7 linked regions of the Callithrix jacchus genome follow. The protein of the gene in region 7 purifies or fractionates together with the protein of the main gene of each other region. This does not show direct contact. Links are inferred from orthologs where the notes say so. Each region holds a gene or a part of one and is shown on either strand. Other genes may lie near its edges.

What was found.
Region 1: the proteins of RMND5A (region 7) and RANBP9 purify together in Homo sapiens (affinity purification with mass spectrometry; 9 studies listed by BioGRID and IntAct, counting the BioPlex papers as one, with this or other methods). This does not show direct contact. The link is inferred for Callithrix jacchus from reciprocal best matches to the Homo sapiens genes RMND5A and RANBP9.
Region 2: the proteins of RMND5A (region 7) and GID4 purify together in Homo sapiens (affinity purification with mass spectrometry; 4 studies listed by BioGRID and IntAct, counting the BioPlex papers as one, with this or other methods). This does not show direct contact. The link is inferred for Callithrix jacchus from reciprocal best matches to the Homo sapiens genes RMND5A and GID4.
Region 3: the proteins of RMND5A (region 7) and MKLN1 purify together in Homo sapiens (affinity purification with mass spectrometry; 4 studies listed by BioGRID and IntAct, counting the BioPlex papers as one, with this or other methods). This does not show direct contact. The link is inferred for Callithrix jacchus from reciprocal best matches to the Homo sapiens genes RMND5A and MKLN1.
Region 4: the proteins of RMND5A (region 7) and RANBP10 purify together in Homo sapiens (affinity purification with mass spectrometry; 4 studies listed by BioGRID and IntAct, counting the BioPlex papers as one, with this or other methods). This does not show direct contact. The link is inferred for Callithrix jacchus from reciprocal best matches to the Homo sapiens genes RMND5A and RANBP10.
Region 5: the proteins of RMND5A (region 7) and ARMC8 purify together in Homo sapiens (affinity purification with mass spectrometry; 5 studies listed by BioGRID and IntAct, counting the BioPlex papers as one, with this or other methods). This does not show direct contact. The link is inferred for Callithrix jacchus from reciprocal best matches to the Homo sapiens genes RMND5A and ARMC8.
Region 6: the proteins of RMND5A (region 7) and SKI purify together in Homo sapiens (affinity purification with mass spectrometry; 3 studies listed by BioGRID and IntAct, counting the BioPlex papers as one, with this or other methods). This does not show direct contact. The link is inferred for Callithrix jacchus from reciprocal best matches to the Homo sapiens genes RMND5A and SKI.

What each region holds. Positions count from the first base shown.
Region 1 is NC_133505.1:16,876,230-16,880,529, reverse strand, and holds the start of RANBP9 (ran-binding protein 9), read right to left. Parts: upstream 2,801-4,300; 5' UTR 1,443-2,800; coding exon of another isoform or gene 1,411-1,442; 5' UTR 1-1,410. Other genes in the region: MCUR1 (mitochondrial calcium uniporter regulator 1), read right to left, coding at 2,953-3,008, 3,959-4,073. UniProt on the Homo sapiens protein: May act as scaffolding protein, and as adapter protein to couple membrane receptors to intracellular signaling pathways. Acts as a mediator of cell spreading and actin cytoskeleton rearrangement.
Region 2 is NC_133506.1:69,100,987-69,104,486, forward strand, and holds the end of GID4 (glucose-induced degradation protein 4 homolog), read right to left. Parts: intron 3,004-3,500; coding exon 2,896-3,003; intron 763-2,895; coding exon 439-762; 3' UTR 368-438; downstream 1-367.
Region 3 is NC_133512.1:115,724,455-115,727,297, forward strand, and holds the end of MKLN1 (muskelin), read right to left. Parts: intron 861-2,843; coding exon 739-860; 3' UTR 501-738; downstream 1-500. UniProt on the Homo sapiens protein: Component of the CTLH E3 ubiquitin-protein ligase complex that selectively accepts ubiquitin from UBE2H and mediates ubiquitination and subsequent proteasomal degradation of the transcription factor HBP1.
Region 4 is NC_133521.1:25,248,456-25,251,955, forward strand, and holds part of RANBP10 (ran-binding protein 10), read right to left. Parts: intron 1,791-3,500; coding exon 1,606-1,790; intron 1-1,605. UniProt on the Homo sapiens protein: May act as an adapter protein to couple membrane receptors to intracellular signaling pathways.
Region 5 is NC_133518.1:46,106,229-46,109,728, forward strand, and holds part of ARMC8 (armadillo repeat-containing protein 8), read right to left. Parts: intron 3,092-3,500; coding exon 2,949-3,091; intron 2,844-2,948; coding exon 2,746-2,843; intron 1-2,745. UniProt on the Homo sapiens protein: Component of the CTLH E3 ubiquitin-protein ligase complex that selectively accepts ubiquitin from UBE2H and mediates ubiquitination and subsequent proteasomal degradation of the transcription factor HBP1.
Region 6 is NC_133508.1:40,279,012-40,283,170, forward strand, and holds the start of SKI (ski oncogene), read left to right. Parts: upstream 1-1,359; 5' UTR 1,360-1,807; coding exon 1,808-2,776; intron 2,777-4,159. UniProt on the Homo sapiens protein: May play a role in terminal differentiation of skeletal muscle cells but not in the determination of cells to the myogenic lineage. Functions as a repressor of TGF-beta signaling.
Region 7 is NC_133515.1:26,282,044-26,286,079, reverse strand, and holds the start of RMND5A (E3 ubiquitin-protein transferase RMND5A), read left to right. Parts: upstream 1-1,236; 5' UTR 1,237-1,602; coding exon 1,603-1,744; intron 1,745-4,036.

The sequences.
Region 1 (4,300 bases), on a different chromosome or scaffold from region 7:
GAATTCCAGCAAGACTTCTGGTTTGAGTCAAGCCTTTCAACTGAGGTGCTTGGCATACTTAATGGAAAAAGCGAGTACATTCAGATTTAGTTTTGCTAGATATTAAGCTAGAACACTGGCTGACAGTAAAACCAATACAGAAACGAAAAGTCGTGTTTCCAGCAAAGAACCATACACGCAAGCGGGTTTTGCCTATTAACATAGCAGGAAAGCATGGAAATTGGAGTTCAGTCGCTTTAGAAAAGATAAAGGGCAGGGGAGGGAGGAGAGGGGAGGGAAGAGAAGCAGGAATGCAGAGGAGCCCTGTAAGAACAAGAAGGAAATACATTCTGTCCATGTGAGGTTCTGCTTCAGGCATTGCACCACGTTCCCTCCACCAGCACCTGGAGGGATGTGTTCAGGATCTCACTATTGTTGATTTCCCTGTGTGCTAGACATACATTGCTAGCTAGAAGTTTTTCTAGGCACCTTCCCCTTTCCTAGTGCTAATGCCTAATTTCCTAAAGTAATCTGAATCCGTATAAGCCCAGGTAGCTCAGGAGGTTTTATTTATTTATTTATTTAGAGGTGGAGTCTTGCTCTATCGCCCAGGCAGATCTTCACAGCTCACTGCAACTTCTGCCTCTGGGGTGGATGCTATTTTCCTGCCTCATCCTCCCAAGTAGGTGGGATTACAGGTGCGTGCCACCACACCTGGCTCATTTTTGTATTTTTAGTAGAGGTAGGGTTTCGCCATGTTGGCCAGGCTGATCTCCAACTCCTGACCTCGAGTGATCTGCCACCTTGGCCCTCAAGGTGCTGGAATTATAGGCATGAGCCACTGCACCCAGCCTCAGGAAGTCTGAATACTTCATCTAGTCTGCTCACAGATGCTTGATCCAGAAGTGGGAAGGGTACACTTGTATTTTGGACTCAAATGCCTTTCAAATGGAATACATTTCACTAAATAAAGTGAACGCAGTCCTGAACCCTTCTCACTCCAGATATGCATGCAATCCATATCATCAAAAGAAGAGTTCAATTCCCAAGGCCAAAAACAGGCTCTGCTGTACTGCAAAGAATTCTACAGCAAAATCAAACACTCAAATGAAGTGCCAGCATGATGCAGCCCGTTATCACCAGGAAGAATGTGAGAAAACTTTTAGCAGATTCAAAAATGTCACCCCACCATGTTATTTAAAAAAAATTTATCAGGATACAAAGACGCTTCACTGTTTTTAACCTATACAAGGTTAGTGTTTACCTTGAAACATAATTGCATATGGCCCTTTTCCTCTTGGATGTGTGACTTGACAAGGGTGTCTGTGCTCCATGGCCCTTCTCCAAGCTCTAGGCCGTTATACTGACATGAAGCTGGTCCGAATGTGGTGGGATGCCACTCACCTTGGCCTTTGATAATGAGGGCGACTGCTAAGTGTGCAGTCTCTTCTGAGGACTTTCCTCTGAAAGGGGGACAATATATTGATAAAATACTTTATTAATCAGTTAAGATAATTTTTGATCTACTTGAAAAAGATTGAACTATAATATTGCACTCTAAAACTGCTATTGCTCATGCAAAAATATTTGACTTTCATATTACATAGAGAGCTCAGAATCTCTATGTAATTCTGAGCTCTCTATGTACATTCTCTAAAAGGACAATGACTTAATTTTCCAAAAGTTAGAAATGACATCCAAAGGACAAAAGGTAACTATTTTTGTTTAATCAATGTGCTTGGAACATTAACAATGAGTAATGTATTCACCGAGCTGATCAGGAAGTCTTCCTGTGACTCCCCCACTGTACCAGACTATGTACATGTGTATGCAGAGAAAGGCAGAAAAAGTTTTGTCAGTGTCATTGTCTCTAAAATGCTTATTCTTGCCCATGTGCCAGTAAATTAAATGAGACTGTGCTTCTCCAGAATAAGCCCAGTTGTATCTAGAATTTACTTGTTTTCGGTATGAAGATAAGGGAGGTATAAGAATGTTTTTAACAGAATTACTCAATCTAGATTAGGATGCTGTGTGGCAGGACCATCTCGAATTTTGAAAGCCTGAGCTGGATGGGGGCAAGGGGATACTCATTAATGAAATAAATTTCATTTATGAAATACGTATCCATCATCTAGGTATCTTACACATGGAGAGCTGAGTGCCTCCCTTGTATAAAAAGTAACTGAAGACCAGAAGGAAGTGGACTTTGTCCTGCAAACTGAAGCAGCGTTCCATGCAAAGAATCAGCAGGTTTTCTAGGTAGGTAATGCCGCCAGTGGAATATTATTACAGTTCTCAAATCACGAGGGAAACAGATGGAGAAGAGGGAGGGAGGAGGGAAAATCTTGCATTCTAAGAGGCAAGAGTCCCCATTACAATTGCAATGCTTCATTAGACAGCTGATTTTTCTAGCTGGAAGGCACATTAAAAATAACCCTGACAATAACTTAACAAGACAATGGAAATCAAAAGAAGAGAAGGTAGAGGCACAGCTGTCCTATTAACACAACAACCCACTACGGCTGCAACAATCCTCGGGTACAGGGACCAGCTCGTGTTAAAGACTGGGTGTTTAGGTAAAGAGGATCTGGTGCTCTTGGTTCAGCTTTAGCGATTTTCCAGTACTGATTAAAGCCATTGTGCCCTGACCATGAAGACCACAAATGCAGAGAATTACACCAATGTCTGCTGTTGGAGTGCACCACAGGCGAGACCAGGCTCCCTGGTCCAGCTGAGTAGGGTCTTCCATGTGCTGTCCGCCGCTAAGTCAGAACGTCGACTAAGCAGAGAGGAGGAAAGGAATAACTATGGAATAGCTGACTTCTTTATCCTGGTTATGGGTCCATAATTCGCATAAAAATAAATAATATGCAGTAAGCTAAAATCCGGTTTCAAATTTGTGACAAGAAAACAAAAGGACAACAATCTGGGATTCTTAAGGCAAAACAGAAATCTCTTTAAATAGACACTTTATTAGATCCACAGACGATAAAATCCCAGAGCCACTGTTAGGCACGTAAAGATAGACCCTGTAAGAAAAAAAACAATTCAAGAATACTATTAGTTCTACTAAGAGCTACTTGAGGGAATATCTTTTTATTAAGAAAACACACACGACCAGGTGCAATGGCTTACACCTGTAATCCCAGCACTTTGGAAGGCTAAGGGAGGCAGATCACTTGAGGTCAGGAGTTCATGAGCAGCCTGGCAAACATGGTGAAACCCCGTCTCCACTAAAAATACAAAAATTAGGTGGGGGTGGTGGGGGCCACCTGTAATCCCAGCTACTGGGGAGGATGAGGCAGGAGTATCACTTGAAACCAGAAGGTAGAGGTTTCAGTGAGCCAAGATTGCATCACTGCACTGCAGCCTGGGCTACAAGAGCAAAACTCTGTCTCAAAAAACAAAAAAACAAGGCTGGGTGCAGTGGCTCACACCTATAATCCTAACACTCTGGGAGGCCAAAGAGGATCACCTGAGGTCAGGAGTTGGAGACCAGCCTGAACAACAGGGAGAAACCCCGTCTCTACTAAAAATACAAAATTAGCCAGGCATGGTGGTACATGTCTGTAATCCCAGCTACTTGGGAGGCTGAGGCAGAATCTCTTGAACCCAGGAGGCAGAGGTTGTGGTGAGCTGAGATCTCGCCATTGTACTCCAGCCTGGGCAGCAAGAGGGAAACTGCATCTCAAAAACTAACAAACAAACAAAAGATCCCAAATAACTACAGTTCGATGACAGTATCTTATCAGATTTCGGATTCTATCCATTACGAAAGTACACCATTACTTTACTACTAAGAAAGAAAAGATGCCAATTAAAGGATGACACTTCATCTCCTGGAAATTGTAAAATGCCTTCCAATTTGAGAGATATTAAAGTATTTCAAAAAGAGCTGGAATCAATGCAGTTTCTGTCAACTTATTTTATAAATTTATTTTCTTTTCAGGTTGATTTAAATAGATATAAAATAGCTTACCTGCTAAATATTTAATATTATCAAGCTTGTGTGACTCAAGCATGGTTTTGAGGCCAGCAACCTCAGTTTCTATCTTCCTATCTGTCTGGGTGAGGGCCCGATCTTGCTGGGCATGCTTTTAAAACAAAGAGAGTCACAGCGTTAGACCACGGCACGTCCCCTCTGCCCTCCATCCTATAGCTCCTTCCCAGCAGGGTGCAGTCACAGGGAAACCTGGCCAAGCCTGGGCTTTAGTCTCAGTTCTAAAATCCTCATGCTGCACTGCATTTGTCAGGACCCTTAACCTCTCTAGGCCTTAGTTTTCTTCTCCTTGAAAAAAATGAAAACAGAAAACAAAACACA
Region 2 (3,500 bases), on a different chromosome or scaffold from region 7:
TTTGTCACATAGCTTTTTTTTTTTTTTTTTTAAAGACAGAGTTTCACTCTTGTTGCCCAGGCTTGAGTGCAGTGGCGTGATCTTGGCTCACTGCAACCTCTGCCTCCCGGGTTCAAGTGACTCTCCTGCCTCAGCCACCCGAGTAGCTTGGATTATAGGCATGTGCCACCATGCCTGGCTAATTTTTATATTTTTGGTAGAGATGGGTTTTCACCATGTTGACCAGGCTAGTCTCAAATTCCTGACTTCAGGTGATCCACCTGCCTCGGCCTCCCAAAGTGCTAAGATTACAGGCGTGAGCCAAAGTGCCCAGCATCACATAGACGTTTTTATCCTATGTAGATTGAATATATGGAATATTGACTTTATAGCATCACCATAATTGCCACTTAAATACCACTCAGGAAAATCTGAGGGCACAGTATAATATCTCTGATTCTAATTTACAATGCAAAAATGACAGCCTAGGTGAAGTGTATTAAACATTGTAAATCCCAGACTAACCCAGGTGCAGTACAGAGCTCCAGAAGTCCCACACAGGAACCTGGGAGTCCTCCACGAGTGGGGAAAGTTAGGGGAAATGCTGACTAGTACAAAAGCAGCCACAAACTGTTGGAGGAGGAAGCACTCCACAAACTCAGCTCCCTTGTTCAGCCACACTTCACATGCCAGTACCAAGGGTGGCTGCCTTAGTTCCTCTCTCACCCAAAATGTTTCAATCCACTCTAGCAGAGTCTGCAGACCCAGATACCTTCCAATGTTCTAATGGAAGTCAATGGGAAAATAAGACGTGCTTTCCCATTATTTAATTTGTAGTCAACCTAGCCTAAAACTGAGTGTCACTGGGCCTCAAAGACTTTGCTTTTTGCAGGACCAATATGAAATGGACAACAGAGTTGAATGGGAGAGAGGCTGTGGTTTACCACAAGGAAGAAGCTTTTACTCTGGGGCTGTCTAGGAGAGGAAGAAGCCATCTCGTGAGGCAGCAAGCCATGCAGGAAGAGCCTAGCCCTGGGCAGAGGTGGGCACAGATGGTACCAGGGAGCCCTTCCAACTCCACCTGCTGGTACCCAGCACCTTGATACACCACTTGGACTCTCCCAACCTTCTGGATACTCAGGTCTTGTGCATTCTCTTGTGTCCCAGAGAGACACAAATGACTGTCTAGCTTTTAGTGTCCATTTGCTATAACAGTCAAAATGTATAGCTTTCAAAAAAATGCTTTAAAAAGCTCAAGTTTAAATTTAAATTTAACTTAAACTCAGGATTTGATAGATCTCCTCTTCTAACTCAAATAAAAAACAGCTTGGGGCTGAGCCTGGTGGCTCATGCCTATAATCCCAGCACTTTGGGAGGCCAAGGTGGGTGGATTACTTGAGGCCAGGAGTTTGAGACCAGCCTGGCCAACATGGCGAAATGCTCTCTCTACTAAAAATACAAAAATTAGCCAGGTGCAGTGGTGCATACCTGTAATCCCAGCTATTTAAGAGACTGAGAGATGAGAATCACTTGAATCTGGGAGGTGGAGGGTGCAGGGAGCTGAGATTGTATCACTGTTCGCCAGCCTGAGTGACACAGTGAGACTCTGTCTCAAAACAAAACAAAAACCCCCCAAAAAAGAAAAACCAAAAAACAGGTTGGGTGCAGTGGCTCACACCTATAATCCCAGCACTCTGGGAAGCCAAGGCAGGAGGATTACTTGAGGCCAGGAGTTCAAGACCAGCCTGGGTAACATAGTGAGACCTTGTCTCTGCAAAACTAAAAGAAAATGAGCTGCGTGTGGTGGCACATGCCTGTAGTTCTAGCTACTCAGGGGCTGAGGTGGGAAGATTACTTGAGCCCAGGAGGTTGAGGCTGCAGTGAGCTGTAATCCACCATTGCACTCCAGCATGGGTAACAGAGCAGGACCCAAACTCTAAAAAAATTTTTTTAAATAAAATAAAAAAATAAAAAACATTAATAAACAAAGCAACTGATCTCTAGTGAGGTAAACTCATGACAAGGGTCTACAAGAGTTCCTTCCACAGACTGCTGTGCCAGAACCAGAGGAGAGTCTAGACAGCCAGGTGTGAGAGGCAATGGGAAGAACGAGTCCTATAATCTTCATTACTGACACAGCATCTCTGGTTGGTTTATGGAGGGTAAACACACTGAACTTCTTCCAGTGTTAAACAAAAATTCATCATCACCATGGTCAACTAAGCAAAAGACAATTAGACGGATTGAGAAACTTGATTTTTGAAGATGCGGTACTTAAATGACAACCAATGAAAAGACCCTGGGACACTAACTCTGAATTGTCTTGAAGCATTCACTACTGCTGAGTGAGAATGCTCTATACCTGACAGTTAAAGGAGTGAGGGGCAGCCAGGATTTATAGTGGTGTACTTAAGACAAGACTATACTCATTTGTCAGGAGCCAGGATAAAAAGAAACGATGCGGCTCTGCCCTGTTAAGCCAGCAGGAGGGCAGATTTCCAGACCATCATCTCCATCTCACCTCATGCCAGCCCCAAAGCTGGAGGTCACTGTCAGATGTTTCACAGGGCTTTCCCCAAGCAGAAGTGATTTGAAAGGAACAGTGGACAGAAGAAGGGCAAACAGATGGGAAGGATAGGGGGACACTGCTCAGATTCTGATAGCCAAGCAAAGTTCTGGCTGGAACTCTGGGGCTGCTATCATCAGACAACCATTTGCTATTTAAGCAGCAGGTCAGATCCTATTTAAACTCTCCTCATAAGGAAGATAGAACAACTGAGGTTTTTGTGCAGCACAGCCTTTCACTTGGCTGCAAAGCCCGATAATCCACAATAAAAGACAAGGTCTCTGGCTCCCAGAATTTCTTCAGTTCTCTAGCAGTCCCTGGAAGACCCAGCGCAGATCAGATTTACTCACCCAGTGTTTCCGATCAACATCTTCATCTGCATCCCACTTGCGAGTTAAGAAAGGGTGTTTTTTGCTGATTATTTCTCCTTCAAAGAAGGTCGTAAGGGTTGGATACTCCTATGGTAAAAACCCAAATATCAAAACAAGATGTTGACTGAGAGTTTTTAACCTTTTTACAAAAGAAGAATCAACTTTGCTTTAACTTCTTTCCAGTACCTTGACATTGCTACCTGATAATCCAAACCAGTTAGATCCAGCCAGTTTGCCAACAGGCTGTGGCAATGGACCTGAATCTAAATCGCCCAGAGAATGAAGGGTGTCCTGGATTTTGCCAACAGCGGACAGCCCTTCTTTGACTTCACTTGTTAATGCTAGTCTCTTAGAAAAGAATTTGGATGTTTCCACAAGTAAATTTGGAATATTCTAGCATACAAAGCAGATCATAACTTGGTAGATTTTACTTTTCAAGGTTAGACACAAAGAGACTCCAAAATCACTGTGTTTCCTGCTAGTATTCCCTTAAGCCACTGGTTCTCCAACTGACTCAGTCATTTGTCTCTTTTACACCAATTCTCCAAGGTTCCAGGGGTGGATTTTGGGGTAGAATACTTTTT
Region 3 (2,843 bases), on a different chromosome or scaffold from region 7:
TCAAAGTCAGATGCTATTGAAATATCTACTATAAAATATCATTATAGAAATATTATATACCAATCTCAGATAGGTGCTTGGGTCAATCTCAGGTTTCATTTTTAGTACTATGGCCAAGAGTGCAAACTTGAGCCCTCAATTCTGCCTACTGTTTAACATAACACAATACAAGTCAGCACAGACACAGATATCACCTTAACATACATCACCTGTCCTAGAGAACTATACACTTGTTAAGAATAAAGTAAAGAGGTAAACAAGTGACACCACTTATACGCAGTTGTGTGACGGGAGGTGAAGTGAAGTGGGAAGGGATGAGAAGGCAGGCCAAATGACCAACAGCAACAACATTCAAAATACTTGTAGTGCTGAATCTGTTAATAGTGCTTATTTCCCCAATTAAAAAAAAAAGGAAAGAAAATTCTGAAAAGGGTAAACTGCCTAATTTTCCTTTTATACTCATTAATTCTTAAAAGATAACATAAGAAAAAATATATATATTTAACTGGAAAGTATACCAATTTCACTTTATTAGCCTAATTTAGGAACAGGATGAAGAGAGTGGGGTTGAGGTCAGGTATGAAGGAAAAGGGTAAAAACCTGTGATGGTTAAGATCCCTTCAGAACTCTGGTGCAGTCCTCAATCACTGCAGCTTTATTGTCAGTCAATGGAGCTGCAATCCAAAAGACGGAAATTCGACTCCTGTTTTTCCATTTCTGTGTCCAGTGACTCTTCAGTTACAGTGTAATGAGGTCTACCAGGTTGCCTTTAGGAGGAGTCATGCTGTCAGGAAAGAAATTTACTAAGGTGTCAAAGAGCTGAGTTCTTTGAGCATAGGTGTGATCCACATCAGAAAAGCCTGGTGAAGAAGATACAAAGAAACATCCATTGTGTTTAAAACATGTAACAGAAAAACTAGTTGAGACTAGCAGTAATGTACTTTATAATGGATAAAGCAAATCAGGCTTCAAAACCAGACAGAAACTACTGATCTGACCCCAGTTCTACTACTTGGCTATGGTATGATCTTAGGGTAAATTCGTCAGACTTTCTGGCTTTCAGACTTTGTTTCCTCAGCTGTACATATGTGATAATAGTATTTACTTCATATAGTTATTGTGCAGATTAAATGCAATTACATGAAAAACAACTAGCAGAAGGACTGGCACTTCAGTCACTAAATGATATTGATTTCTCTTCTCTTCCTTACAAGGTTGTTCCTCTGCAAGTCCACTGAGAAAATTCCACTTGTCTTTTCTACTTGTTAATGCTTCTGAACCACTAAATTTTTTTTTGGTAATAAAAATATAATAAAATCAAAATGAAAGGGATCTCTAGAAATTAGTCTAAAATCATTAATGTCTCAGAGACAGCTGGAAGTAGTCTCCGAGAACTGAGTGATAACAGAGATGACTGAGGGAAAGAGATACATGTACAATATGTAAAATGGTACCTGCACATAATAAACACCATACCTCTTACTAGGCACACATTATGTGAGGATAGGGCAATGAACTACTTTTATCCTAGTAAATATTAGAAAACATATGTATGGCATTTTTAAAAGGTAGGGACTGTTAATCTAAAGGATTTTCCCCTGTAACCTCTAAAAAACATTCAATTAAGTTTACTCCAGCTAAAGGAACATTCAGTGAGATGCTGTCTTCATCAGTTGGTATATTTATCTCAGCTGCTTCAGATTTCTTAAATACAACGGAGATATTTAAGTGATAAAATAAATGATTTCCCCTATTCCTGAAATGGCGGAGGCATGAGAGCCCTGCTGAGTGCTGTGAGAAATAGAAACAAAGCCATAAAGAGTTACACATGCCATGGTGTTCAGTGAAGGCGACTTCAAACCAGACTTATTTCCATTCAACTTAGAATACAATTTTAGGTCCAATCTGTTTTAATCTTGTAAAAGAACAGGAATAGACCATAACATTGCCAAGGATACCAGTTTCCTGGAAGGAACATAAACAATACCTCAAGAACAGCACATTCCTTTTTATTTTAAAAAATATATTGTTTTAAGTTTGAGGGTAAATGTTTATTTGAGATGAGCTTGAGTTTAACAAAGCCCACTATGCTATCATGGAAGTGAATGGAAAGAAATACTCCAAAATATTAACAAAGGTTATCTCTGACAGTGAGATTAGAGTCTTTTCTATTTTATGCTTTAAAAAAAAATTTCCAAATTGCTTCATTTTTCAACTTTTTATTTTGAAAAATTTCAAACCCAAAGAAAGGTTTCAAGAATCGTGCAATGAACACCCCATACTGCCTTCACTTAGGTTCACCATTAGTTTCACCAAATATGTTCTCGTTCTCTCGTTCTCTCTCTCTCTCTCTCTCTCTCTCTCTCTCTCTCTCTCTCTCTCTCGTGTGTACACCCCACTGAAAATCTTTTTGTGGAACTATCTGGGAGTAAGTTGTAGTCACCTTTGGCCCCTACATGCTCAAACTGATTTCAGCTAAGAACAAGAACATTCACTTACATAACTAATATATATTAAATTCATGAAATTTAACACCAATGTCCCAATAGTACCATTTTTCAGTCACTTTTTTACAGTCATGTTTCCTACTAATCTAAAATCCAATCTAAGATCACACAATGCATTTTTCCAAGTCTCTTGAGTCTGAAATGGTTCCTCAGCCTCTGTCTTTTATGACACTGATATTTTTGAAGACTACAGAACATTTATGAATAGAATGTGTTAAATTTGGGTTGCCTGTTTCTTGATCATCAGATTCAGTTTATGCAGTTTTGGCAAGAATACTATACACGTGATACTGTGTGTCCTCAGTGTATCATCTCAGAAGGCATGGGGTATCAGTT
Region 4 (3,500 bases), on a different chromosome or scaffold from region 7:
CCAGTTACTCAGGAGACTGAGGTAGGAGGACTGCTTGAGCCCAGGAGGCTGATGCAGTGATCCATGACTGTCACTGCACTCCAGCCTGGGCAATAGAGTGAAATCCTGACTCAGGAAAAAAAATAAAATAAATATAATTATTATTACACCATATTATTATTATAAACACAAAGGTAAATATAAAATATTATTTATCTATAAGTGGGTTACCTACACAAGTAAAAGAGAGGAAATTACCTGACCTTCCACTAAAGGAAGCCAGCCGAAAGGCTTGTGACAAATTTTTCTCTGAGATAACATAGCCATTATCAATATTCACTAAATGAAGTTATGTAAAACCATAGTACACAAATTATATCCAGGTCTTGGCAAATGCTACATATAAACACATACAAGCACATGGATACACACATGTAAACAAAAACACTCATGTGCTATGCCACACATGGTAGCACATGCCTGTGATGCCAGCTACTCAGGAAGCTGAGGTGGGAGGATCACTTGAGCCCAGGAGTCCAACCTGGGCAACGTAGTGCGACCCCGATCTCAATATTTTTTTAAAAACCCAAAAACAAAAACACATCCATATGCTGAGCCTAGGCCCTGAAAACTGAGAGCATCAGTTCCTCCCCTACACAGCCTTGGCAGCTTCACTCCTCTCCTTGCCCATCCCAGCAAGCCTGCTATGGGAGTGGCACAGTCCTGGCCATCCAAGGAAGTCCTTGTCATCTGTTCTGGAGGGCTGGGAACAAAAGGCAGCAATGCTGTTCTTCCTGGGGAAGGTCTGGTCACCTAGCCCCTGCCTCAGCCCACCCTTGGGGCCTGCCTCAAGAGACAAAGGCTGCAGAAAGAACCCAGTGTGCCCCCCAACCCCACCCAAGGGGACCCTAGCACCCTGGTGCCTTTGCAGGGCAATGACCAGAGGTAGCAGAAGCCCAGCCCTTCCCCATGCCCATCTGCCCATCCTTGGGAGCCAAGCTAACACCCACCTCCTAGCAGAGTGGGTACTGGTCACTGCCTCACTCAGGCTTGCAGATGACAAGTAGAAGAGAGACCCAAAGCTGGCCTCCCTTGGGAGTTTCAGCAACACTGGCTTGCAGGACAGTCTGGGAATTTATCAGCCAAGGAGCTAGCTCAGCTGGTCCTAGGAGGACTCCCTTCCCTCCACCACTGCTATAGACGAATGAGACTCAGTTGGATGCTGGGCCCTGTGAGGTGGCCTCAGGCCAGAGTCACGGCATGATGGATACTCCCTATGGTAGAAAAGGGTCCACAGAGGAAGAGACCACAGGGCATCCTCTGCAAAATCCTCTGCAAAATGACCTGGGGAAGGAAAACAGCCCTGCTGGTGATCTTATACACAGGAGCCTCCAATCTGGCTGAGGGGCAAAGGTTTAATTAGGAGCAGCCTGGAGAACTCATCGGAAGCTGTCCATCCAATAAGAGGGAAATGGGAGAGCTGCAAGTTGAATCGCCCTAGGAATACTTCCCAGACAGGATCCACCAACTGGAATTTCTAAGGACTGCTTGTAGCACTACAGGGGCCTAGAGTGGAGAGGGCTGGGGTGGGGTGGGAGTAGGTAAGGGCGGGAGCAGGGCACTCACTTCTGCAGCACTGCCTGCCACTCGCCAAGCCGGGCACTGATGGGGAAGCAGTGGACTGTGCCCTGGACCTTGGCACGCCACTCCCGCATGTAGTCCTCAATGTCAAACAGGAAGGGCTGCTGCCCAAAGTTGGCGTCCACAATCTCCCCAGGTGTCTGCAGGCCTACGGTGGGGTAGAGGTTGGCCTGAGGAGGAGAATGAAATGTCAGTCAGGCCCTGAGGGCAGCGGGGTGGCAAGGCCTCGCCTCACCTCACCTCACCTCCATGGCTGCTGCTGGCCCATGCTCGGGCTGGGAGAGTTGCAGCAAGGCTGGAGGAGGCAGGGCAGAGCCACCTTCCTGCCTACCTCCCTAGCAGACACACTATACCACAAAGCTTGAGGGGAGAAAGCAAAAGAAAAGCAAGCAAGGCACAACATGGAAAGTGTCCCGCCCTGCATCAGAGGCCATTGTGTCCTCAAGGCCCAAGAACCCCTTCTGGAACGCAGCCAAGGCATACAGAGATGGGCTGGGTGTCACAACCCTGCAGACGTGCCCATGAAGGTCTGCTGCAATGGTGGATCATGGCTCCTCTTGGAAAGATCCAGGGCCGAGGATATCTCTGCCACAAAAAATAGACACATGAGGCTGGGCACGGTGGCTCATGCCTGTAATCCCAGAATATTGGGAAGCCAAGTTAGGAGGACTGCTTGAGTCCAGGATTTCGAGACCAGCCTGGGCAACAAAGTGAGACCCTGTCTCTACAAAAAATAAAAAAATTAAAATAGCAAGGTGTGGTGGTGTACACTTCTGGTCCCAGCTACTCAGGAGGCTGAGGTGGGAAGATTGCTTGATCCCAGGAAATTGAGGCTGCAGTGAGTGAGCTGTGATTATGCTACTGCAACCCAGCCTGGGTGACAGTCCTTGTCTAAAAAAAAAAAAAAAAAAAGAGGGGGTGGGCAGAGATGGAATGACGCAGGAAGGAAGGGAGGAGGGGAGCATGGCAAAAGGGAACTGGTGGTCTAGACCCCTGGCACTGGCAAAGGGTGAAGAGAAGCTGCCTTTCCTGTTAGAGGCTTGCTAAGAGGAGGATCTGGCCAGTAGGGTGTGGGGCTCCCTGCTTTCCACCTAGCCCCTGCCATGACTGGCTTTTGCCCGGTCCCTCCCTCACTTTGTGGTTCCTGTGGCTCCTGGCTGCTACTGTCCAGAGCCTCGCCAACCTCCTCCCCACTGTCACTGCAGATGGCCTTCCCTGAGCCTCCCAGTCCACTCTACCTCCATGCTCAAGCCATGTTCCTTCTTGAGTACCATGCACTTTTTTTTTTTTTTTGAGATGGAATCTTGCTCTTGTTGTCCAGGTTGGAGTGCAATGGTGCAATCTCCACTTACTGTAACCTCCACCTCCTGGGTTCAAGCAATTCTCCTGCCTCAGCCTCCCAAGTTAGCTGGGATTAAAGGCATGCACCACCATGCCCGGCTAATTTTGTATTTTTAGTAGAGATGCGGTTTCTCCATGTTGGTCAGGCTGGTCTCAAACTCCCAACCTCAGATGATCCGCCTGCCTTGGCCTCCCAAAGTGCTGGGATTACAGGAGTGAACCACCACCTCCGGCCAACCATGCACTTTTGTACCTGCACAAGGTGTAGGAGCTTTTCCTGTATGCTGGCTTCAGCCTACCACCGGCTTTGCACTGGACCTCTCAGTTCCTTTCTTCCCCCTTCCATCCTCCACACCACAGGCAAAGCCCGCCTCGTCCAGCAAACTTGCCTTGACTGTCACTGCCCGCAATGTCATCCCCCATACTTTCTTGCACGTGGCTGCATACAGGCCATGCTCACAACTGGCCATTTCATGTCACGTCCCCATAACTAGACTTTTCCCTAGCCAGGGACAGCATTCTCCTCCTGAATCTGTTCT
Region 5 (3,500 bases), on a different chromosome or scaffold from region 7:
AAGACTTAGCTCAAGCTTCCCAGTCAATGACATCACAAGAGCTATGCTTCCCAAGAAGGAATGTGCATGCAAATTCCCAGGAGATGTTCTTAATGTACTTTGATACTGTAGGTCTGGGGTAGGATCCTAAGAGTCAGCTTCCAAATGAGGCTGATGCCATTGGCCTACAGACTCTACTTTGAGCAAAGAATGGTGAAGTACATAGCAGCTAAGATAGAAAAGGTAGAGAAGTAGATTAAAAAGTCTCTATTAGGCTCCTAAAGCTATTTCCACCTCCTTCTTTTCCTCTAATGTTCTTGCATTCCTCAATTTCCCTCAGTTACAATAGCCCCCATCCCATTTTTTCATATCTGCCCCCTTTCTGTTAATTGTGTCTATATATCTACAGTTTACAGATGATTAAATAAGGCAAAGAACAATTATTGAATACAAAATTTACCCAAAATCACCCACCTAATAAACACAATTTCAAACTAGAAATCCTGCCATCTTCTTACTGGACTACCTACCCCATCTCTATTCTACAGCCTGAGTTGCTCAAACAGCTGGCTTTTATACACCCCAACTCATAGAAGTCAATTAATACACTGAAACACTGCTGCTAGTTATTCCCCAATCCAACTCTTTACAAATTCTCCACTGTCTCTGAGGTATAAAATATCTGAGGCACAAAATTGAGATGATTCATAATTTAGATATTCTATCTAAATTTAACCTCCCTGGGTCTCAATTTTTCTCATGTAAAACAGTTGGCATAGACCAGAATTTTCCAAATTGTGCACCATGATCCATTAGTAGGACAAAAATCAGTTTAGAGAGTGAGGTGGGAGGAGTTAAAGTAGTTGGCCAGGATCAACTTCTCCCCTTATTATGGGATTGAGGGTAGGTGAGAAACTTCCAGGGTAAATAAGACAGGTGACTGGCTTAATCTCTGCAAACATTACCATATGAACTACAGGAAAATAAACTGATATTTACTAAGTCCTCTATGGAAAGCTTTAAGCAGGATGTCTACAGTAAAGTAGTAACTCTTAAAGAGAGAACCTGGAAATTTGTTAGAAATGCAAATTCTCAGGCCACACCCAAAACTCACTGGATCAGAAACCGGAGGTGGGGTTTAGCAATCCCTGTTTGACAAGCCCTCCACGTAATTCTAGTGCAACCTCAAATCTGAGAACCACTGCAGTAAACAATCTATAGATATATGAGGTATGACTCCCTGAAGAATCTCACATAAAACTATGAGGTATAAAATAAAGATGTTAGGCCACGTGCAGCAGCTCACACCTGCAATCCTAGCAGTTTGGGAGGCCAAGGCAGGCGGATCATGAGGTCAGGGGTTCAGGACCAGGCTGGCCAACATGGTGAAACCTCGTCTCTACTAAAAATACAAAAAAAATTAGCCGGGCATGGTGGCATGCACCTGTAATCCCAGCTACCCAGGAGGCTGAGGCAGGAGAATCACCTGAACCTGGTAGGCAGAGGTTTCAGTGAGTCAAGACTGAGCCACTGCACTCCATCATGGGTGACAGAGCAAAGCTCCCTATCAAAAATAAATAAAATAAAAGAATTTTCATAATTTAGGTGCTCCCTATGTGAGGTAACCCATAAATCTCATCTACCGACCACCTTATGTATCATTAAGGGCCAGCGGAGTATGTGTCTGATGTAGAAAGGACAGGCTAGGGAGCCATGTGACATGTCTCTTCTCTATGCTTGCTTTGCCTATGCCTCTTTATTACTTCTAGTCTTGAAATACTTAAAAAGCCTAATTCTGGGTAAGATCTCTGACTCCTGTGTGCACAATTTAACAACATAATTTGTTATGTTGGCTCAGATAATCACAATCACCATTTTTTTGAAGAATGAAAAATGACAACACAGAAACCAGAGGGCATTTCATCTGTGGAACTATGTCAAGAAACTTGTCTCAGGATTCTTTCACATATACATACATACCTACATACACACACACACACACACAAATTCACATGTATAGTGAGGCAAGAACTCAAACAGTTTTTGAGACTTTATTTATTAGAGTCAGAGTCTGTACTGTCACCCAGGCTGGAGTGGGGTGGTGATCTCCAATCACTGCAATGTCTGTCTCCTGGGTTCAAGTGATTTTCATGGCTCAGCCTCCCAAGAAGCTGGGGTTGCAGCTATGTGCCACCATGTACAGTTAATTTTTGTAGTTTTAATGGAGACGGAGTTTCACCGTGTTGGCCAGTCTGGTCTTAACTCCTGGCCTCAGGTACTATATCCGCCTTGACCTCACGAACTCCTAGGATTACAGGCGTGAACCACCACACCTGGCAGAGACTTTTATTATTTTTTTGTTTTAAGTTACAGGATCTTGCTCTGTCACACAGGCTGAGGTGCAGTGGCACCTCATAGCTTACTATAACCTCAAACTCCTAGACTCAAGCAATCCTTCCACTGCAGTCTCATGAGTAGCTAGGACTATAGGCATGCACCATTGCACCAGGCTAATTTATTTTTATTTTTATTTTTTTCATTAGAGATGGAGTCTTGTTACATCACTCTGGTTGGTCTTGAACTCCTGGCCTCGAGCAATGCTCCCACCTCAGCCTCCCAAAGCACCGAGATTACAGGTGTGAGCCACCATGCCCAGCTGAGGCTTTTTTATACAACATAGTTATGATGAGTCTAAAGATGCCAAGCAAATTAGGAGTAGGCTGTTAGTGAAATGCAACTAATATCTCAAATACATCTAAAACTCACTGTATACAGTAGCTCCTCTGGAGTGACAGGACTGGTGAAAATGGTGCGCAGGCATCGGAGACAAGCTTCAATAAACTTCAGGTCTGGGGACAGTAGTCCTATTAACAGAAACTAAATTTAGGACTAATCCTCTCAACCAGTATTTAAAGTACTGTAAACTGATTCTTATCTTTACTTGAGCAAAAAATGGCTTCCCTACATACCTTGCAATAAGGCAGGGATAATATGGCAGTCCAGTAGAGACTTGACATTGTTTTCAGTACCCATAGCAAGACTTCCCAACACCACTGCACATTCAGTTTTCAGCTCTGTGGTTGAGGTTTCTTGCTGAAGCAAGTACAACAATCTAAAAAGAAGGAACTTAATAAACAAAAAGACTAAAAAAATTTAATCAAGGCTCAATGTGACCAAAAAAGGCTGTGCAGTCCACATAATAAAAACATGATTGGTTGAGTTTATATTAATTCAATGGTCATTTGTTTATCTCATCTGCTAATTAAAGAAAGAAACATCTGGAAAAAAATCTAGAAGAGGTTTTGAAAAAAAGAACTATCATATTCTCAGGGTTTATCAAAAGTGTACATCTGAAAGTTGTCCACAAGTGGTCTCTGTAGAAACAGCATCATCAGAGTCCACATCATCTACCACTTCCTGTTGGGTCTCCAAAATATGAAGACTCTCAATCAAATGCCATGTGCTGCCAGATCTTATATTCAAACTAGAAATCTAGAAATGCTACTGCTCTGAATCTAGAG
Region 6 (4,159 bases), on a different chromosome or scaffold from region 7:
GGGCGAGGACAGCCCCCAACCCCCTCCCACCCATTGCGTCCCGGAGCCCGCAGGCCTCGCTGGACGCTGCCACCTCTGGGGACCACCAGGCCGACCGTCCAGCTTTGGGACCCAGGCTTTCCCACTTCGGCCTGCCAGGGCTTGTGGCTCTCCCACTGCGTGGCCAGGCGTGGAGAGCCGGCCCGACCGGACGGACGGAAGCGCCCCGCAGCCCCGGGGCGGAGGGCAGGGGTCTCGCCAGTCTGCCCGTCGGGACCCGCGGGGCCGAGATCCTGAGAAGCCACCCGGCCAGGGGCCGGCAGAGCGGCCGCGGCGGGGGCACCGGGCGCCGCCCCTCCCAGGCCCGAAGCCCCGGTCTGGTGGGGCGGGGCTGGCACGGGCGGGAGCCGCTGACACCCGGCCACCGAGCCACGGGCCACGGTGCAGCGGGGGCCGCGGGGCTGCGCCGCCAGGGTCACGTGGCGCGAAGTCCCCCCGCGTGGCCACCATCCCTGTGGTGTGTGGGACCCCAGAGGCGCCCGGGCTCCCCGCTGTGTGGTGTCCCACCCTGGGAGAACCCCGGGTGCGTGGCGTGGCCCGCCAGCCGTCCCAGCTGGTTTGCGGTCGAGCGGGGAGCCTGTGGGTTTCTGGGCCCCGGCGGCGGCGAGACGGGCGCCTTCCCAGCAGCGCAGGAAGCGGCCTCGGCCGGAAGGGGGCCCCGGGCGCCGCCACCACCGCCTCCGCCTCCGCCCGCGCTAGCGGCCGTCGGCGGGCAAGGCCGAGCGGGGCCGAGTCGAGTCGAGCACGGCCGAGCAGAGCCGAGTCCCGGGCGAGCGGAGCCGAGTCGTAGCAGGGCGGGTCCTAGCGCAGCCGAATCCCGGGCGAGCGGAGCCGAGCGCGGCCGAGTCCGGGCGGGGAGCGCGCGTTCCTGGAAGAGCCCGGCTGGGGAGCGGGTCACATTCTTGGCCGGCGCTCTGGCTGAGGCGGACGCACAGCAACAAACAGCGCGGGGGGCGGGGCCGGCGCGGGGCGGAGCGGGCGGCGCGGGGCGGGGCGGCGCGGCGGCGGCGTGAGCTCAGCGCCGGGCGCTCAGTCCGAGCCGAAGCGAGCCGCCGGGAGGATGTTCGCCGAGCGCCCCAAGCCCCGCGCCGCCGCCGCCGCGCTCTGAGGGCCGCGGGCGAGAGGCGCCTCCGCCGCCCCAGAAGCCGGGCGGGCGGGCCGCGGAGCCGGCGGGCGGGCGGGCCGGGGGCCGGCGGCGGGCGCGACGCGGCCGGCCAGCGCCGCCGGGACGAGCCGGGCGGGCGCCGCGCGGTGGGAGGAGCGGGGCGGCGGCGGCGCGCCGCGCGAGGACGGCCCGGCGGGCCCCGCGCCCGCGCCCCCGCTCCTCCCGGGCCCCTCGGCCTCGGCCGCCGCGGCGATTCGCGCCTCTCGGCGCCGCCACCTGCCCGCGCGCCCCCCGCGAGCCCCGGGCCCGCGAGCGTTGGCGTTGGCGTTGGCGGCGCGCGCCGGGGCATGCCCCGCGCCTAGAGCCCGGGGGGCGCGCGGGGGACGCGCGGGGGGCCCGGGCGGCGGCGGGCGCGGCGCGGGGCGCGTGGATGTGGCGCCGGGCCCGGGCGGCGGCGGACTCCAGCGGCGGGACCCCTTCGCCCCGCCCGCCTTCCCCTTCGCGCCCCCGGGCGAGGCCGCGGCCGTGATCGGTCGTGAGCCGGCGGCAGGGGGCGGCCGGGGTCGGGGCCGCGGACGCCGCCGGGGCGCGCGGGGCGGCGGCGGGGGCCGGGGGGGCCCGGGCGCGCGGGAGCGGGAGCGGCCCGGGGAGCCGGAGCGCACCATGGAAGCGGCGGCGGGCGGCCGCGGCGGCTTCCAGCCGCACCCGGGGCTGCAGAAGACGCTGGAACAGTTCCACCTGAGCTCCATGAGCTCGTTGGGCGGCCCGGCCGCCTTCTCGGCGCGCTGGGCGCAGGAGGCCTACAAGAAGGAGAGCGCCAAGGAGGCGGGCGCGGCCGCGGTGCCCGCGCCGGTGCCCGCAGCCGCGGAGCCGCCGCCCGTGCTGCACCTGCCCGCCATCCAGCCGCCGCCGCCCGTGCTGCCCGGGCCCTTCTTCATGCCGTCCGACCGCTCCACGGAGCGCTGCGAGACGGTGCTAGAGGGCGAGACCATCTCGTGCTTCGTGGTGGGAGGGGAGAAGCGCCTGTGCCTGCCACAAATCCTCAACTCGGTGCTGCGCGACTTCTCGCTGCAGCAGATCAACTCGGTGTGCGACGAGCTCCACATCTACTGCTCGCGCTGCACGGCCGACCAGCTGGAGATCCTCAAAGTCATGGGCATCCTGCCCTTCTCGGCGCCCTCGTGCGGGCTCATCACCAAGACGGACGCCGAGCGCCTGTGTAACGCGCTGCTCTACGGCGGCGCCTACCCGCCGCCCTGCAAGAAGGAGCTGGCCGCCAGCCTGGCGCTGGGCCTGGAGCTCAGCGAGCGCAGCGTCCGCGTGTACCACGAGTGCTTCGGCAAGTGCAAGGGGCTGCTGGTGCCTGAGCTTTACAGCAGCCCAAGCGCCGCCTGCATTCAGTGCCTGGACTGCCGCCTCATGTACCCGCCGCACAAGTTCGTGGTGCACTCGCACAAGGCCCTGGAGAACCGGACCTGCCACTGGGGCTTCGACTCGGCCAACTGGCGGGCCTACATCCTGCTGAGCCAGGACTACACCGGCAAGGAGGAGCAGGCGCGCCTCGGCCGCTGCCTGGACGACGTGAAGGAGAAGTTCGACTATGGCAGCAAGTACAAGCGGCGGGTGCCCCGGGTGAGTGGCCCCAGGCCTGGGCGCGGGGTGGGGCCGGTGCGTTGGGTGGGGGGGCACCTCCTGGGCCTTGCGCTCCGGGCTCCGAAGGCCGGGACCTGTGTTCTGCCTCACTCCTGTCTCAAGGCTTCGGTTCGTTTAGGGGAAATTCAGAGCGTTCCCTTGGGCAGGGCCAGTGGGTTTGGAAGGAAGCCCTCCTGCCGGTTCCTCAGGACGAGCCTGGGCGGGGCTGGTGGCGGTGGGGTGCGGGGCCAGGCTTGGTGTGTGGGAAAGGCCCACAGCCATTGCCCAGATAGGCCAGGAAGGCACAGGCCTCTTGTGCTGCCGAGAAAGCGGCCTGTCCCGAGGTCAGGGAAGTTCCATCCAGCCGTACTGCGGCTGGATGCCTCAGGCCCGGGTCTTCCTTGGGGTTGGGGTGAAGGTGGCTGCCCTTACCCCGAAGCTTCCCAGCTTTGAGCCCCAGGAGACAGAGCTCGGGCCAGGCGAGGCCTGGTTTTGTTACTGGCTCTGCTCCCTGTTTGGTGTCCTGAAGTTTTGGGACACAGACCCAAAATGAAGCCAGGTGTCCGGCGTTAGTGGCGGAGGGCCGAGACTCAGCAGCCCCAGCACTGTGCTGGTTCGTCTCCCTGGGCCTGCCAGGGAGCAAATCCCAGAGTCCCCCGTGCAGGGTGAGGGCCACTTGGCACCCAGCTGAGGGCCTGGTCAGCAGGCTCCTGGGCCCGAGTGCTGGAGTTCCTGGCGGCCTGCGATTTGTTTTGGACTCACCCGTTTCCTTCTCTCCCTCTGAAGCGCAGAGGGACACGCCAGGGAGGGAGACTGTCAGCCCGGCTTTGTTGTTTGCCAGTTGGAGGATCTGGAGGATCCGGCGTGGGCAGCTCCCAGGCCATAAGGCACCGACATTACCCAGTGGGGTCCTCAGGAACTTTCCGTTGCATACCTTCCCAAGTATTTGTAACTTTTTTTTAAATATGCAGGCTTATTAAATTGCACACACAGAATGCTGCATTGGCTCAGCTATTCTTGGGAGGCCTAATTAATTCAGCTATTGCATCAAACTTTTTTTTTGAAATCTGTGAATAGATGCTCCAGCCCGGTTTTCTCTGGGCGGCCCTCCAGCAGAGTGTCAGATCGTGGGGAGGAGGGGCTGTGGATGGAAGCGAGGGACTGTCGCCTCTGCTTGGAGGGGGCTGCGGAGAGTGTGCGCGCGCGTGTATGCCTGTTCAGGGGCGCTCTGGCCCTGCCAGGCCAGAGCCTTGGTGCAGCTGCTTGCAGACCTGTGGGCTGTGGAAGGATGCTCCCGGCGGGGCTGCTGACAGACCCAGCAGGCTGGGGCCTTTCGTGTCACACGGGGAGTTGGCTGGGGTGGGCATGATGGCGTACCCTGTG
Region 7 (4,036 bases):
ATTAACGGTGGGGAGGAAGTACATTAGTGTAGCCAGGCAGGGGAGGACCGTGTAAGGGGGCAAGTCAGCTGAGAACTTTAGGATGAAAAAGGTAGGAGGAAGAGTTTTCTGGGCCAAGGAAAGGGCAAGTGCATAAGTCCTGAGGCAGGAACTAGCTGGGCTCCTGAAGAAATGCAAAGGTTAGTGCAGGCGATGCTGACCACGGAGGTCTAGGCCAAGGCTGGAGACGCCATGGCAAGCTAGGAGAAGGATTTACCCAAGGGGGTAAAGCCGATCCTATTCAATACAGGCTTCCCAGGGGGCAAGGGCCAAGCTGCCCAGCTCTCCAGCGCGGGTTCTTTCCACTGGGCTAAGCTGCCCGGCTCAGGGCTCCGGGGCGACCGTCAGGAGAGGTTCCCGGCCCCGGGGCCAAAGGGCCACTACGGCTCGCGGCGGGTGGGGAACCTGACCTCCAGAGTGTCGTAAGCTCCGGGCAACGCTGACAGACGGCGCGGGTCATTCGCAACCAACAAGCATCCCCCTCACCAGGACCCAATCACCTCCGCCTTTAATTCCCATTAGCGCCCCCGACCCGCCTCAGCACCCGCCCCCGGGCGGCCTTGCTTGGTTTTTCATCCTGGGAGGCGGATCCGTCGCCCAAAAGTTCAGAATGACTGCATCCCTTTCCCTTAAGAGCGATGAGGAGACGAAATAAATTGGGTTCAGGGCGACGTCCTATGGAAAACAGCCCTCTGTATTTTTGTCTGGTTTTCCCCCACGGCTTTCCAGAAAAGACTCGTTTCTCGGTACGCTCTCCAAGTCACCCCCTCCAACAGCGAGTTCGTTGGTTTGGCCTGTCAACCCGGATTGGCTGAAGCCTTACACCTCGGCCATGGATTGGCTTCTTACCATTCTCCGCGCCCATTGGTTGGGTTTCCCCGCTTCTGGGCGGAGTGGTGAGGGCCGGTTTCCGCCCCCTTGTTTACTGAGCGCGTAGTTGTAGCGCTCGCCGAGCTCTGGGGCTGTCTCCAAAGTTCCCTATTTAGCTCCTCCGGCCAATTGGGGCCTCGCTCCACCCTCGACCTCTCCCTCGCCCGCCTTCCGCGTGGTACGGCCCACACCTTTAGAGCTGCGGCGCGTGTGGGCGCCTGTCGCCCTCCTCCGCCCGCGATCGCCGAGCCCCCCCCCTTCGAAGGTGCGCTTGGTACGGCCCGCGCCGCCTCCTTTCCTCGCCGGGGTGGCCGTCCCTCTCCCCCCAGTCGGCGGCGCTTGGTGCCGCCCGGGAGAACCAGGTCATCCGTCGGTTCCCGTGAAAACAAAAACAATCGGCCGCGCAGCCGCGGGCACCCGAACGCCACGAGCGGGACCCGGGGACGCGGGGCCGGGTGGAGGGAGCGAACGGGGGCGGCGGCGACACGCCGGAGGGCGAGAGCGCCATGGGGCAGGCGGGCTACTGCTGCGCGGGGCTCCCCCGGCGCCGCGGCTAGTGCGCACGCCGCCTCGGCCGCCTCAGCCTCCCGCGCCGCCCGCCTGGGGGACGAGGAGCAGGACGCGGCCTCGGCAGGGCCCGGGCCGAACGGCTGCGGACACCCGGGCGCCTGGGAGCCGAGCGCCGCCTCCGGCATGGATCAATGCGTGACGGTGGAGCGTGAGCTGGAGAAGGTGCTGCACAAGTTCTCGGGCTACGGGCAGCTGTGCGAGCGCGGCCTGGAGGAGCTCATCGACTACACCGGCGGCCTCAAGCACGAGATCCTGCAGAGCCAGGGTAGGGCGCCTGTGTAGGCGCGCGGGGCAGGGCCCACCGCTCGAGCCCCGGCCCCCGCCTCCCTTGGAAGCGCGGAGGTCCCCAGACCCCTGAGACTTTTCCTCCTCTTTTCACTCGATTTACCTCGAACCTGCCGCGCGATCTCGTTGCTAATTCAGGAGTGCGAACCACCCGGAAACTCGGCCGGGAGCCGCGGGCTCCAGTCCGGATAAACGTGGGTGAGGGGGCCGTTTGCCGCACCTGCAAGGTGCCGCCTTCCTTGAGTGGGCGCCCCTGGCCCCCCGCCGGCCCCGAGGATCTCACGTGGTGCCCGCGGCTCAGTCCTGCGGGCGGGCAGTGAGCGAATCGCCTGGGATCCCAGGCTCCGAGTGATGAGGGCAGTGCAGGAATCCCTCTTCCCCCTCTGTGCCGCCCCGAATCCTTGCCCAGGAGACTTCGTCGTTTTTCCGTCTTTTTATTTTGGAAAGTCGAGCGTTATTCTTAGCTGTGGGTTAACAACAGCCGCTCCTGCAACTTATGATTTGACTGCCCTGTGGACGCAGCTCTTGTGAACTCCGCAGCGGCTCTGACGTGGTTCCTAGGAACCGTTCCGCTCCCCTATTGTAGCTTCTGATAACACCAAGGAGGAACGGGCGACGTTTGCCCAAGCACATTTTGGTACATGTTGCTAGTTACTTGCTTTGTCTGGTCAAGTTCTTCCTTTTTTAAAAAAATAGATTTTTCTGTTTCTCCTAGATTATTATTACCCCAAGCCCAGGGGACAGGTACTTTGCCAGAGTTAATTTAACGTATGAAAGCTGGTTGGGAAGGTTTTTGTTTTTTTTGTTGGTTTTTTTCAAATAACATTAAAGGTTTAGTTTCCTTACACATGAAAAATTACAGCGATGATTCCTTTTGATCAAGAAGTACAGGACTTTTTAAATGGGTTTATAAAAGAGGCTGAGGGGGCTTCTCAGTTATGGGCTGAACAGAAATTTATGTGAAGAAAGGTTGGGTAGCTGGGGGAGATGCAGATATTTGTGGCAGGTGAGATGAGGGCAGTGGTGTTAGCTGAGCTTCTCTCTCCTCCTCCATTTTTTTCACACTTTCACCCAGACTGCATTTCAGTTGAGGAAGGGTGGTGGTCCATGGGAAAAGAGTCTTAAAGCAACTTCTCATTTTAGACACTGCAGACATTTTTGTACTTTCGGAAGGAAGGAACCTGCAGTCATAGTGGATGGGATATTAATATGGAAAAAGCATTAATTCTCGTAGGAGTTGCAGTACTAATATGGAAAAACGAGCAGATTTTGGTGGCTGCCTGTGAAGGGAAATTTGACTGACGTGGTGAGGATAATATAGTTGGTACAGGGAAGTGAAGGTGGAATGGGACAGGAATCTTGGGAAGACTTTGAAATTGGTTTTGTACGTGTGAGGTAAAGTTGGAAGGGCTTAATGATGATAGAGTCCGAGGGCTCTCGTATTTACTGGTGGCTGGAGATGCATAGGTCTAAGACTGTTTTCTGATGTCATTTCTAAGAGGACAGTGGAGGGGATCACTTAGGATGCAAAGAAGAAAGACTAGGGTCTAACCACAATCTTGAATTTCCCTTGGCGCGTAGAGGGCCTAGGCTAGATAGAGCCAGCAGAAACCAAAAAGGGCGGGGTTAAGAAAAAGAGGTTGGTCGGCATTTATTTGGTTATTGGAAGTCAGCAGTTTCATAGAATTGCTAAGACAAGCCAGATTACTGGGGGTTAAGAAGAAAAACGTGATGTGAACCTAAGTGTGGGAAATACAATACAGTGATGGGAAGTGTTACCTCTGCTCCCGACCCCGCCAAGGAACCAGTGGAGGAAGAGAATGAAGGGACTGTTGGAGAGGTGGAAGGAACATTTCCTTTTTACGGACCAGGCCATAGGCAGGGTTTGAGAGGAAAACGATGCAACAGGATGTACCTTTCTTCCATGAGAGAGGATGTAAGTTGAAGGGGCATATTATTGTGGGCTTTGTTTTAGAAAATTTAGGACCACTCTCAGATGGAGAAAATGACTGTGAGGAATTGCTAAGGCAAGAATTTGTTTTTTACCTCTTCACTGGGTACTAGGGAACTTTTCTCAGAATTTATCGTCAGAAGGGTATTGGCCACACAGTATGCTATGCTGTTAAAAACAGTCTGACTTGGTGAGTTTGTGTGTTCCTTTTTCAGACTCCTAATTTTTTCCCTTTTGTCTTCCAAATTGCTAGTCTTATATTGGTATCTCTTTGATTTCCTTTAATTCTTTAATAATAGGGTTAAGTGACAAAAGGTAGTT